2 linked regions of the Anolis sagrei genome follow. The protein of the gene in region 1 purifies or fractionates together with the protein of each later gene. This does not show direct contact. Links are inferred from orthologs where the notes say so. Each region holds a gene or a part of one and is shown in the gene's direction. Other genes may lie near its edges.

The links. The genes of interacting proteins can lie anywhere in the genome.
Region 2: the proteins of WRAP53 (region 1) and MDC1 purify together in Homo sapiens (affinity purification with western blotting, with the first as the bait; 3 studies listed by BioGRID). This does not show direct contact. The link is inferred for Anolis sagrei from reciprocal best matches to the Homo sapiens genes WRAP53 and MDC1.

Annotation. Positions count from the first base shown.
Region 1 is NC_090026.1:5,549,345-5,557,264, forward strand, and holds the start of WRAP53 (telomerase Cajal body protein 1), read left to right. Parts: upstream 1-4,920; 5' UTR 4,921-4,968; intron 4,969-4,981; exon of another isoform or gene 4,982-5,005; intron 5,006-5,017; exon of another isoform or gene 5,018-5,091; intron 5,092-7,920. Other genes in the region: thialysine N-epsilon-acetyltransferase-like, read right to left, coding at 1,707-1,790, 2,522-2,573, 2,862-2,927. UniProt on the Homo sapiens protein: RNA chaperone that plays a key role in telomere maintenance and RNA localization to Cajal bodies. Specifically recognizes and binds the Cajal body box (CAB box) present in both small Cajal body RNAs (scaRNAs) and telomerase RNA template component (TERC).
Region 2 is NC_090022.1:21,663,339-21,670,305, forward strand, and holds the start of MDC1 (mediator of DNA damage checkpoint protein 1), read left to right. Parts: upstream 1-3,866; 5' UTR 3,867-4,193; coding exon 4,194-4,317; intron 4,318-6,967. UniProt on the Homo sapiens protein: Histone reader protein required for checkpoint-mediated cell cycle arrest in response to DNA damage within both the S phase and G2/M phases of the cell cycle.

The DNA of each region.
Region 1 (7,920 bases):
AACAAGCTTGCTCCCTCCTCCCTGTGGCTTCCTCTCACATATTTATACATGGCTATCATATCTCCTCTCAGCCTTCTCTTCTTCAGGCTAAACATGCCCAGTTCCCTAAGCCGCTCCTCATAGGGCTTGTTCTCCAGACCCTTGATCATTTTAGTCGCCCTCCTCTGGACACATTCCAGCTTGTCAACATCTCTCTTGAATTGTGGCGCCCAGAATTGGACACAATATTCCAGGTGTGGTCTAACCAAAGCAGAATAGAGGGGTAGCATTACTTCCTTAGATCTAGACACTATGCTCCTATTGATGCAGGCCAAAATCCCATTGGCTTTTTTTGCCGCCACGTCACATTGTTGGCTCATGTTTAACTTGTTGTCCACGAGGACTCCAAGATCTTTTTCACACGTACTGCTCTCGAGCCAGGCCTCCCCCATCCTGTATCTTTGCATTTCATTTTTCCTGCCAAAGTGGAGTATCTTGCATTTGTCGCTGTTGAACTTCATTTTGTTAGTTTTGGCCCATCTCTCTAATCTGTCAAGATCGTTTTGAATCCTGCCCCTGTCCTCTGGAGTCTTGGCTCTCCCTCCCAATTTGGTGTCGTCTGCAAACTTGATGATCATGCCTTCTAGCCCTTCATCTAAGTCATGAAGAAAGATCCTGAACAGGACCGGGCCCAGGACGGAACCCTGCGGCACTCCACTTGTCACTTCTTTCCAAGATGAATCTTGACATTTGGGAGTTGTAGTTGCTGGGATTTATAGTTCACCTACAATCAAAGAGGATTCTGAAAACCACCAACGATAGAATTGGGCCAAACCTCCCACACAGAATCCCTTTGACCACCAGAGTGGGCCACAGCAACACATGGCAGGGGATGGCTAGTAGAATCATGGAATCCTAGAGTAGGAAGAGACCTCATGGGCCATCCAGTCCAACCCCATTCTGCCAAGAAGCAGGAATATTGCATTCAAATCACCCCTGACAGATGGCCATCCAGCCTCTGTTTAAAAGCTTCCAAAGAAGAAGCCTCTACCAAACTCTGAGGCAGAGAGTTCCCCTGCTGAACAGCTCTCACAGTCAGGAAGTTCTTCCTAAAGTTCAGGTGGAATCTCCTTTCTTGTAGTTTGAAGCCAAAGAAGGAGGCTCCACCACACTCTGGGGCAGAGAGTTCCACTGATGAACAGCTCCCACAGTCAGGAAGTTCTTCCTAATCTTCAAGTGGAATCTCCTTTCTTGTAGTTTGAAACCAAAGAAGGAGGCTGCACCACACTCTGGGGCAGAGAGTTCCACTGGTGAACAGCTCCCACAGTCAGGAAGTCCTTCCTAATGTTTAGGGTCTCCTTTCTTGTAGTTTGAAGCCATTGTTCCGCATCCTAGTCTCCAGGGAGGCAGAAAACAAGCTCCCTCCTTTCTATGACTTCATCTCACATATTCATAGCTATCATGTCTCCTCTCCTACCGGATGTTAGGAATTATGGGAGTTGAAGTCCAAAACACCTGGAGGGCCCAAGTTTGCCCATGCCTAGTATAAGGTATATTATGAGAGCCAGTAAGGATTTAAGTGACTGATTTGGATTGCAAAACCAGGTTTTGAATGTCTGCTTGGCTATGGAAACTCACTGAGAAACTTTGGGACAAGTCACACTCTCTCAGCCTCAGAGTTATCCCAAATATAGTAATCCAGAATGGTTTTCCCGCCCTGATCGTACCTCCTTTGGTCTTTTCTCCCGGGGGCAGCTCAGCAACCAGGCACCCGAAAGTGGGCTCTTTCCCAAAGCCATCTTCTTGGAAATCTACCAATAAATAAGGCAATGTTAAGCACTATATATAAAACATATGCATTTACATAGCTTCGTACGGTTCTGGAATTGACAAAATATGAATGGCCTTTCTTGAAAGCCACACGGCATCAAAATATATGCGTTCAACATCAAAATACACAATTTTCTACAATTCCCAGGATCCCATAGTTTTGAGCATTTGTGGGGTGAAGCTGCATTAATTCTATAGTGTAGATGCACTCGTTGTATGCTAGGGAATCTGGCTTTGAGCTTCGTTTCTTGCAAGTTGGTTAGAAGCCATAGCAAAACTCCAAATAACTAGAAAAAATGTATTGTCGAAGGCTTTCATGGCCGGAAAGGAGGTAACCATGAAAATGAACAAAATTTGGCTACTCTAAAATTGCAACAGCACAACAACAGAGAGGAAACAAACAAGGACATCTAATTACCTCTCAACAAAAGTTTGCTCCAGGCACAGTCAGCCCATTGTATGCTGATCAAGATGGTCAGTTGAAACATTCACACTTAGCTCCAGCAGACAAGAGTCCTTTGTCCCACCCTGGTCATTCCACAGATATATAAACCCTTTTTCCTAGTTCCAACAGACCTCACTACCTCTGAGGATGTTTGCCATAGATACAGGCGAAATGTCAGGAGAGAGTACCTCTAGACCATGGCCATACAGCCCGAAAAAACCTACAACAACCCAACTAGAAAAAAAATAAATATAAGCCATTCCTTACTTTTTGTGGTGGTCGTCACTTGGTCCAAAGCTTTGTGGAAAGCCGCAGATTCCTGGAAAGAGAGTAAGTTGTAATGGAAATGGAAATGAGAAAGGGGTCTCTGGAGGTCATCTAGTTTGACCCTCTCCAAATGCGTAAAGCCCAGAACCCCAGAGAATTCCTCAATTGATCCCTGTTGAGAATTGGAAGGTGGGGGAGGAGAGAGAGAGATACACCTGGAGTACAAAACCCATCATCCAGTATGACACACCAAGGGGAGTATGGGTTTTGTAGTTGAGGCACATGTCCAAATTGTCATTCTGATGCCAAAACAGAGCTTTAAACCCCTGAAATTTCTCACCCGAATAAGCCGCATGACCTCCTTAAGATCCCTTACGGCCCAGGGACGGATGATGCAGTTCATCATGGCTCTGATCTTGTCTCCTTCCAATTTGGACTCTGATCTGGTTAAAGAAAGCTGACTCCAGTTAAAAACTAAGCGTTCCCCTTCAATGGGCACCCCCTCCTTGCACCTATTAATTTTGGTCAGTTATTAATTTTGGGGATACGCTTGGAAACCCAACAAGGAAGATGGATCCATAGCAAGGTTCAAAGGGTGCTGTTGTACTTAGTTTTGGCCCCAGAAGCTGGCATATAAATGAGTTACAGGGTTGGTTAGTGATGTAAATGGACTTTCCTTGGCTTGTTATAACTCTCAATGGCTCTTGGAAAATCTGTTAAGCTGGAACCCATCTGTATTGCCATGTAATGCAGTGTGAAACTGCATTGTATGGTCAGTACAGACTCATATTATGCCATTCAATGCAGATTCATAATGCCATTCAATGCAGGTCCCCATCTACACTCCACTATATAATGCAATTTCATAATATGGTTAACTGCATTACATGGCAGATATATATACTAGCCATCCCCTGCCACGCATTGCTGTGTTCCAGTCTGTATATATGTGTTTTGTGTGTGTGTATATATTTGAGGAGCCTTCTAATCAAGGTGAAAGAAGAAAGCGCAAAAGCTGGGTTGCAGCTGAACATCCAAAATCCAAGATTATGGCAACAAGAATGATTGACAACTGGAAAATTGTGGGAGAAAATGTGGAGGCCGTGACAGGGTTTGTATTTCTAGGCGCAAAGATGACTGCAGATGCAGACTGTGGCCAGGAAATCAGAAGACGCTTCCTTCTTGGGAGGAGAGCAAGGTCCAGTCTCAATAAAATAGTAAAGAGTAGAGACATCAGACTGGCAACCAAGATCCATTGCCTAGTCCAAGCCATGGTCTTCCCTGTAGTCACCTACGGATGTGAGAGCTGGACCTTAGGGAAGGCGGAGCGAAGGAAGATCGATGCTTTTGAGCTGTGGTGTTGGAGGAAAGTGCTGAGAGTGCCTTGGACTGCGAGAAGATCCAACCAGTCCATCCTCCAGGAAATAAAGCCTGACTGCTCATTGGAGGGAAGGAGACTAGAGACAAAGTTGAAGTCCTTTGGCCACATCATGAGGAGACAGCAAAGCCTAGAGAAGGGAATGATGATGGGGAAAGTGGAAGGCAAAAGGAAGAGGGGCCGACCAAGGGCAAGATGGATGGATGGCATCCTTGAAGTGACTGGACTGACCTTGAAGGAGCTGGGGGTGGTGACGGCCGACAGGGAGCTCTGGCGTGGGCTGGTCCATGAGGTCAGGAAGAGTCGGAGACGACTGAACAAATGAACAACATATATTTGTGCATATAGAAGATGTGTATATAGATAGATAGAAGAGATAGATATAGATAGAAAGGTAAAGGTTTTCCCCTGACATTGTGTCTGACTCTGAGGTGTGGTGCTCATCTCCATTTCTAAGCTGAGCCGGCGTTGTCTGTAGATAACTCCAAGGTCACGTGGCTGGCATGACTGCATGGAACACAGTTACCTTCCCGCCGGAGAAGTACCTATTGATCTACTCGCATTGCATGTTTTTGAACTGCTAGTTTGGCAGAAGCTGGGGCTGACAGCAGGAGCTTACCCCACTCCCTGGAATCCACTCCCTGGATTCCCTTTCGGTCAGCAGCTCAGTGCTTTAACCCACTGCAGAGATAATAGATATGGCAGCATGGATGGAGCCCTAGTGTTTAGAGCTCAGGGCTAATCTACACTGCAGATTTAATGCACTTTGATCCCACTTTAGCTGCCATGGTGCAATGCTATTTAGTCCTGAGCACTGTCATTTGGTTCTCTTTAGTGTAGAACCTAAAATTCCATAGCATTGAGCCATAGTAGTTGAAGTAGTGCCAAACTGCATTACTCCCAGATGCATCCACGTGGGTGTGTTTTCTAGTTCCTGTTGCCCTTTAAGGAGTGAGGTCTCGCGAGAGCTCTACGCCCTTTCGCCTGGCTCCCGCGAGATCTGGGTGAGCCAGCCGGGAGGAAAAGTGGGCGGAGCCAGGGGTGTCATGGCGGCCTCCACAGTCCCCACGTGAGTTTGTGTTTTGATCTTGCTAAGCAGAGAGATTGTAAGTTTTGGGGACACTTTTCCCTCTTCTCTGCATTCTCTGGAGCAGATAAAAGGAACTGCTCCAGGGAATCCGCATGTAGAAAGGTATTAATTACAGTATCTGCATTATTGTTTGGCATTATTAACTGATATCGTTGATATTCTAATTGGGGCCCTCATTGCTATTGCGTAGAACTTAGAGAGGGATCCATCTTAGTTTGCTTTCTTGTAAAAGAGAAAAATGAGGAGTCTTGTGTTGTAATAAGAAATTCAGTGTGCAAATTTGATAAATGTGAATTTAAAATGATGTGTGGGAATGAATGGAAGGATGTATGGATAGAGCTAATAATTTTGGAAACACCAGTATAATATTAAGGCCTGCAATGACTAACTACCTGCTTGCTGGACTTGCTAATGAGAAACCCTGATAAGAACTGGGACAGTGATAAAGGAAATGTTTGCAACATGCCTTATGTTAAGAAGGAAGTCTTGTGTAAGATCAACACTAAGCCTTGTGTTTGTTAACACCAATCAAGAAGATCAACACTGAGATGGATCCAGGATGGAAGACGTCTATCATTAATTTACAACTTTGGGACTACATCAACAGAATTTTCCTATAAAAGACTCAGGCTAATAATGCTCAAATCGTGACAGACCGAGGAGTCTGATCCACCCGCCATGCTCTGCTCCATGGGAAGGACAGAGGTGGTGTATTCAGAGAGTGCCAGATATGCTATGGGAAAGCATGATTCTGGACATTTTGGGGCTTCTTTCTCAAGGGAAGAGGAAGAAGTGCCCTTTTGGAGTCTTAGATTTTATGCAGGGAGTCAAGTTCTGCTGTATGGAAAACAGAGGTCTGGTCCTTGGCACTGTTCTTAGGGAAAGAAGTTTTGGCATCTCAGCGTTTGAAGTTATGGAACTATGCGTTGGTTTGTTGTTGTTCATTCGTTCAGTCGTCTCCGACTCTTCGTGACCTCATGGACCAGCCCACGCCAGAGCTCCCTGTCGGCCGTCACCACCCCCAGCTCCTGCAAGGTCAGTCCGGTCACTTCAAGGATGCCATCCATCCATCTTGCCCTTGGTCGGCCCCTCTTCCTTTTGCCTTCCACTTTCCCCAGCATAATTGTCTTCTCTAGGCTTTGCTGTCTCCTCATGATGTGGCCAAAGTACTTCAACTTTGTCTCGAGTCTCCTTCCCTCCAATGTGCAGTTGGGCTTTATTTCCTGGAGGATGGACTGGTTGGATCTTCTCGCAGTCCAAGGCACTCTCAGAACTTTCCTCCAACACCACAACTCAAAAGCATCTATCTTCCTTCGCTCAGCCTTCCCTAAGGTAGGCTGCAGGAAAGCAGGGTCTGGCCTAAGAGGTGCTTCTCCAAGGAGGGAGAAAATGATATGGTAATATTTGGATGCATGTGGATGAATGCATGTACATGTGTGTGAATGCTGAGTGAAAATGTAATTCTCCTATGTTTGTTTGTTAACCAATGTAATTGTGAATCCAATGTAGTTGCATAGAATCTGTATGTCTGTATGTCCAATGTAATTCTTTGTCTAAATGTTTTCTATAATCTGATATATCTTCTCACACTGGAAATTGCAATAAAAAGAACCTATGCTTCAAAGTTATTGAAAAGTCATTCATGACAGTGTCGCTCTTAAGTCTAACCAATGTGTATATATCTTATGGTTTTAATGTGTTTTCATCTTATGCTTGTATTTTAATATATGCATTAAAATGATGTTATGTTTTCACTATTGTACCCCATCTGTGGCCTAGAGAGTCATAGAAAAATATTTATTATTTTATTATTTATTTACTACATTTTTACCCCCCTCTTCAAAAACCCCTGTGGGGGGACAGGGACTCAGAGCGTCTTATACTGGCAACAATTCGATGCCCCAAATATAACAAATAACAGCAATTCAATTCAAGGTGCAGGTGCTCACCTACAAAGCCCTAAATGGTTTGGGACCCGACTACCTGCATGACCGCATCTCCATATATGAACCCACATGATCCCTTCGATCATCTGGAGAGTCCCTGCTCACAATCCCACCTGCGTCGCAAGCGCGTTTGGTGGGGACGAGGGACAGGGCCTTCTCTGGTGGCCCCCCGACTCTGGAACTCTCTCCCCAAGGACATCAGACAAGCCCCAAAGTTGGCAGTCTTTAGGAAGAGCCTGAAGATTTGGCTGTTCCAGTGTGCCTTTCCAGAATAGGAAACTCCTGGCATCATGTCCCAAATGCACTTTGTTAGAGATTTAGGATTGTCTGCACATTGCACCTACCTCCAAAACCTCTACATTTCACCTGTCATATCCAGCACTTTTAAATTTTGTTCATTACATTGGCCCGGCCTTAGGTTTTAAATGCATCATGGTGTCATTGTTTTTAGTGTTTATTTTTGCTTGATGTTTATTGTTTGCTTTATGAGTTTTACTGCTGTATTGTTATGTTGTTGTTTTGTTGGCGGCCTTGGCCTTTGTAAGCCACATTGAGTCCTTCAGGAGATGTTAGCGGGGTATAAATAAAGTTAATAATAATAATAATAATGATAATATAAAACAATGAATAGAACAGTAGATTAAAAATCGTTAAGCGTTATTATCACATGCTACTCTGCTGCTGAGTATGCATGCCCGGTGTGGAACACATCTCACCACGCTAAAACAGTAGATGTGGCTCTTAATGAGACATTATTATGAGGGAATCCTTTCTAATATTTAGGCACAACTTGTTCTCTTGTAACTTGAATCCACTAATTTGTGTCCTAGACCCTGGAGCAGCATAAAACAACCTTGCCCTTATTTACATGACATCCTTTCTGGTATTTAACGATGGACCTGGGAAGGAATCCTGGGAGTTACCCTGGACAGTTATCTGACCTACAAGAAGCACTGCTTGAATATCAAGCAAAAAGTGGGTGATA
Region 2 (6,967 bases), on another chromosome or scaffold:
AGATTGTTCCCTATTGAGGATTTAAGAACAGTTGTATATACACATACTGACTGGGAACAAGGACTTCTGAATTTGTATATTGCCAGCACGAACATATGTGCAATATAAACTCTTATTATTATGGTGTGCCTTTAGGTCATTTCTGACTTATAATGACCCTAAAGTAAGCTACCTCAGGGTTTTATGGGGCTGAGAGTATGCGACTTAGATAAAGTCACCCTGTGGATTTCCATGGCTGAATGCGGATTAGAATCCTGGTATCCAAAATCATAATCCAACGTCCAAAGGATTACATCAGGTTTAAAGTCAACACATTGCATTGCCTGTTACTTTTCTGATACTTTTCATTACTTTGAATAAATAAATATTTCAAAATAATGATATAAACATTTAAAAAATCATATGTAATGCTTCTAACATTGCTCATTCACTAATGGAGCAACTTTGTTTCCATTGTTTGTGCTACTTACCATATGTAGCTTTGCGACAGGAAACGGTGTTACTCATAATGTGTTAACCTTCAACCCACAAGTCTTCCCCTGCTACAAGCCTCCTCAGCCACCTCTCTTCGCTGTTGAGAGTTAGAGTTTAATCAGTGGAATTAGTGAAGTTTGATACCACCTTAACTGCCATGGTTTAGTGCTATGGTATCCTAGTAGTTGTAGTTCCCTCTTGTCCTTTGCTGAATGTAGCATTTGTTGGATTTTCTTAGTGGATCTGTAGATTGTGTTTCTTCATCAGCTTCACTATGTGGTCAGTGGTTCCCTTGATGTATGGCAAGAACACTTTTCCTCTGAGTGGATCTTTGTCTTGACTCTCATGGCTTGTTCTTGGTCTTTCAGCACTTCTGATGTCTAAGGTGGAGTATCCATTGGCCTGTAGAGCCCAGTTTAGGTGGTTTGGTTCACCTTGGTGGAGGTGGGCTTCGCAGATTCTTTTTGCATGGTCTGTCAAGGCTTTAATGGTGCTTCTTTTTTTACTTGGGTGATGGTTGGAGCTTTTATGCAGGTATCTATCTCTGTGTGTAGGTCTTCTGTAAACTGTGTGGACCAATTGTTGGTTGGGCTTTCAGATGACTAGGACATCTAGAAATGGCAGTTTTCCTTCTTTTTATTTTTCCATGGTGAATTGGATGTTGGGGTGGATGCTGCTGAGGTGGTCCAGGAACTTATTTCTTTATTTGTTTGTTTAGAGTATTTACTATATTCCACCCTTCTCACCCCGCAGGGGACTCAATGTGGATTACAATGCACATATACATGGCAAACATTCAAAGCCAATTAATATGCAACATATAAACAGACAAAGAGGCAATTTTAACATTCCACCTTCCCGGCTTCATATCTGCTTTGAACTGGATTATCTGAGGTCACACTGCCATATAACCAGTTCAAAGCAGATAATATGGGATTTTATACAGCTGTATGGAAGGGGTCTGATTCATGCAATTATGGTACATGGTGAATGGTAGGAAAACCCACCTGCAGTGATCAGCTGTGATTTTTATTTTATTTTCATGTGAAAAATGGTTTCACCTGGTAATGCCCACTCCTGTCCTTAAAAACCCATTAAATGCAATTATAATTGTACTGTATTTTAATTTTATGTCCAGGACACAAATATAATAATAATAATAATAATAATAATAATATATTTATTTACAGCTTTTATATTCCACCCTTCTCATCCCACAGGGGACTCAAGGTAGATTACAGTGTACACATATATGGCAAACATTCAATGCCAATTTTGATGTGCAGACATATACAGACTTACACAGAGGCTATTTAACCTTTTCTGGCCACCAGGGGAGCTGTCGCTTTCATCGTCCATCTGCGATGCTGATGAAGTACCTCTGCATTCCTTGCATGCTTCCCCACTGGAGTGCTTCTTTATGGCCTCATAAATTAGTTAATTTTAGCCTCCCCACACTTTTAAGGTGGTACCTTATTTTCCTACTTGAAAGATGCAACTGTCTTTCGGGTTGCAAAGGTTGACAACGGGCTACACAATGGTTGGAAACCCACTCCAATCTGGGCTGGCTTCGAACTCATGACCTTTTGGTCAGAGTGATCTTAATGCAGCTGACACTCAGCCAGCTGCGCCACAATCCCAACAACAACAATTTATTTATTTATTTATTTCGAGGTTTTATATACCGACCCTCTCACCTTCAAAGAGGGATTCGGACCGGTTCACAACATGTGTTAACATACAAAAAATATACAACAACAACAACAAAAACAACAACATGGATGTGGCTAACAAATTGAACTTTGAAAAGGAAACTGGGGGCCTGATTCTTGCAGCCCAAATGCCATTAAAGCCAGAACTGAAAAGTCGATGACAGATCCCAAGTGTACACTCTGCAAGAAGATTGTGCAGATGGACTACAAGCAGAGGCATAACATCTTGCTCAGATGATCCACTGGAACTCGTGCCACAAATACCATCTGCCTGCGACAACGAACTGGTGGGATCACAAGCCTGAAAATGTTACAGAAAACGAACATGTCAGACTACTCTGACACTTTCAAATTCAGAGTTTTGGAGCACAATAGTCCTGACCTCATGATCGTGAAAGTATGGATCATCGATGTTGCAATCCCAGGTGACAGCAGAATTGACAAGAAGCAACTGGAAAATCTGACACAATATGAAGATTTAAGATAGAACTGCAAAGACTCTGCCACAAGCCAGTAAAGTTGGTCCCAGTGGTGATCGACACACTGGGTACGGTGCCTAAAGACCTTGGCTTGCACTTAAAAACAATCAGCACTGACAAAATTACCATCTGCCAACTGCAAAAGGCTACCCTACTTGGATCTGCACGCATTATTCACCAATACATCAGACAGTCCTAGACACTTGGGAAGTGTCCAACGTGTGATCCAATACAACAGCCAGCAGTGATCTTGTTTGCTGTGTACTAATCTTGTTGTGTTTCAAATAAATAATAATAATTTTGTATTTGCTTTGTTTTATATTGTTATTGGGTCATAGAATCCTAGAATCCTAGAGTTGGAAGAGACCTCATGGGCCATCCAGTCCAACCCCCTGCCAAGAAGCAGGAATATTGCATTCAAATCACCCCTGACAGATGGCCATCCAGCCTCTGTTTAAAAGGTCGTGTAAGTTGCCTTGATTCCCTATGCAGAGAAAGGTGGGGATAGAAATTAAGTTAATAATAATAATTAACGGGCCAGGAAAAATATTGATTGCGGTGCATCCACACTGTAGACTTAACACAGTTTGATACCAGTTTAACTTCCTTGGGGAATTTCTATGGAATCTGGCAAGTTGTGGTTTTAGCAGGCCTTTAGCCTTCTCTGCCAAAGTGGACTGGTACTTACCCAAACTACAAAGCCCAGGACAGTTAAAGCGGTATCAAACTGTGTTAAGTCTACAGTGTGGATGCACCGCAATTAATATTTTTCTTACAGTGCAGATGCAATGATGTAGAGATAAGAAACATTGTTTTAAAATTAAGAAAAAAATAACCGAGGAGTGGTTGTGCCCGTGTATACAAAACCCGCGGATACGGAGGGCCGTCTACCCGCGGATACGGAGGACAGGCTATTGCATTGACTCTCCATGTATTGCATTGACTGTATACTTCCACCCTCTCGCTCGGAGGCCAAACAAAATGGCCGCCGCCGTGAAGTCAAAGCCGGAAACCCTATGTCTGAAGCAACTCTATGCTACTGGGCTTACGCTCTAGGCTGGACATTTCCTGTCTCTGTGATTTTCCGTCGCTTATATTGGATCGGAAAAGAGCGAGGCCGGGCCGTTTACTCCCCGCCAACCATTGAAATAAATCAACCAATCGTCGGACGGGAAGCGTTTAAAGTGGCAGCCTCGGTATCCAATAAGAAAAGGGTCCTGCGCAAAAGAAGGCGGGGCGCACGAAAATTGGATGCCGGAGTGCTATTTGGGGGAGCGGAGACCCCTTTCAATAGGTTCAAATGGGAAAGAAAAAGGCGGGAGTTAGATTTAAAGGGACAGGCACCTAAAAATAAGAAAGACTTAGGTGCATAGGTGTGTGTGGGCTAGCCATTAGGATATAATTGGAAGCAGGATATCAAGGCTATCAAAGGAATAATGCAAGGAGATGGATACAGATGAGGTTTGGAAAGGCAAAGGGAAGGAGTAACATTGTACCTACATATATATAGCTATATAGTTATTGCAAAATGGAGCAAACTCAGTTGTTGGACTGGGACGAGGAAGGGGATCCCAATGAGGCTTCTCATGGGAATACCCCCAAACCTGTTGGGCGCCTGCACCTTTTGAGCAGCAAATATGGCCCTGAAAAAGGTAAGGATGTCTACAATTAATGCCTTTATATTTATTAACATTGTGTATGTATATTTTATTTATATGCCACCTTTCTCCCAAAGTGGGATGCAAAGGTGACTTGCAAATACATTAAATTGCAAGGTTTCCAACACATTTTATTATATGCATTTATATTATTGTATTTATATGCTCCCTTTCCCCCAAAGTGGGATGCAAAGGTGGCATGCAAATACATTACATTGAAAGGTTTATACCACATTTTATTATATGTATTGATATTATTTTATTTATATGCCAGTTTTCTCCCAAAGCGGGGCACAAGAATGGGAAAACGTTATTTGCCGACTTTCTCTCAAAGTGCAATGCAAAGGTGGCTTGCTAATACATTACATTGAAAGGTTTCCAACACGTTTTATTATATGCATTTATATTATTGTATTTATATGCCAGCTTTCCCCCAAAGTGGAATGCAAAAGTGACTTGAAAATACACGAAATAGAAAGGCTTCCAACACATTTTATTATATGCGTTGATATTATTGTATTTATATGCCACCTTTTCCCCAAAGTGAGATACAAAGGTGGCAAGCAAATACATTACATTGAAAGGTTTATACCACATTTTATTATATGTATTGATATTACTGTATTTATATGCTACCTTTTCCCCAAAGAGAGATACAAAGGTGGCTTGCAAATACACTAAATTGAAAGGTTTCCAACACATTTTATTATATGTATTGATATTATTGTATTTATATGCCACCTTTCCCCCAAAGTGGAATGCAAAAGTGACTTGAAAATACATTAAATTGAAAGATTTCCGACACATTTTATTGTATGCATTTATATTATTATATTTATATGCCACCTTTTCTCCAAAGTGAGATACAAAGGTGGCTTGCAAATACATTACATCAAAAGGTTTCCAACACATTTTATTATATGCATTGATATAATTGTATTTATATGCCACCTTTTCCCCAAAGTGGCATGCAAAGGTGGCTTAAAAATACATTACATTGCAAGGTTCCCAACACATTTTATTATATGTGTTGATATTATTGTATTTATCTGTCAGCTTTCCCCCAAAGTGGGATGCAAAAGTGGCTTGCAAATACATTAAATTGCAATGTTTCCAACACATTTTATTATATGCATTGATATTATTGTATTTATATGCCAGCTTTCTCCCAAAGTGGGACACAAGAATGGGAAAACGTTAAATTAGGTGGCTTGCAAATACATTAAACTGAAAGGTTTCTAACACATTTTATTGTATGTATTGATATTGTTGTGTTTATATGCCAGTTTTCAACCAGAGTGGGATGCAAAGGTGGCTTGCAAATACATTAAACTGAAAGGTTTCCAACACATTTTATTATATGTATTAATATTATTGTATTTATATGCCAGTTTTCTCCCAAAGTGGGGCACAAGAATGGGAAAACGTTATTTGCCGACTTTCTCCCAAAGTGCAATGCAAAAGTGACTTGCAAATACATTAAATTGAAAGGTTTCAAACACATTTTATTATATGTATTGATATTATTGTATTTATATCCCACCTTCTCCCAGAGTGCGATGCAAAGGTGGCTTGCAAATACATTACATTGAAAGGTTTCCAACACATTTTATTATATGTAGTGATATTATTGTATTTATATGCTACCTTTTCCCCAAAGAGAGATACAAAGGTGGCTTGCAAATACACTAAATTGAAAGGTTTCCAACACATTTTATTATACGTATTGATAATATTGTATTTATATGCCAGTTTTCTCCCAAAGTGGGACACAAGAATAGGAAAACATTAAATTAGAGTGGGGCGCAAGGCAGCTTGCAAATACATTAAATTAAAAGGTTGTTGTTGTTGTTATTAACAACTGTATTTATACTCTGCCTTTCCCGCTGTAGGGACTCAAGGCAGTTAACAAACCCACACTTTTAAAAGCTCATTACAAAAGTTACAAAACAATTAAATCGTACAGTGTGGTAGAGACATATTAAAACATTACCAATACACTTAAAATAGTCTTTACAACTAAATTGTATTTATTGATATTGTTTCATTTAGATGCCACTCTTTCACCCAAGGTGGCTTGCAAAAACATGATTCCACGGCATTGGGCCATTGGAGTTAAAGTGGTGTCAAACTGCATTAATTCTATAGTGTAGATGCACCCTAAGAATGGGGCTATGCCAGGCATGGGTAAACTTGGGCCCTCCAGGTGTTTTGGACTTCAATTCCCACAGTTCCTAACTGTTATGATTTGAGGGAGTTTTATTTTGAACACTTATACCCCATCCATTCTCGACCTCCAGGGAGAGACTCAGGACGGCTACCTACAGGCAACAATTCGATTCCGAGACAATATAAACACATAATAAATACCTAAATATAAATATAAATATACATTAAAACAGTTGATGTCCAAAACACCTAGAGGGCCAAAGTTTGCTCATGCATGGGTTATGCTGCTTGTTTACAAAAGCCCTTCAGAAGTTTGCATAGAGAGCAAAACTGAAATCCTGTTGGATTAATTAATTAGTTTATTTTATTTACATATTTATACTCTGCTTTTCTCACCCCTGGGGAGACTCTAAGCGGTTTTAATCCCAAATAGAGGATTCTCATTGAATCTGTTGATGTACAGTGTATTATCATG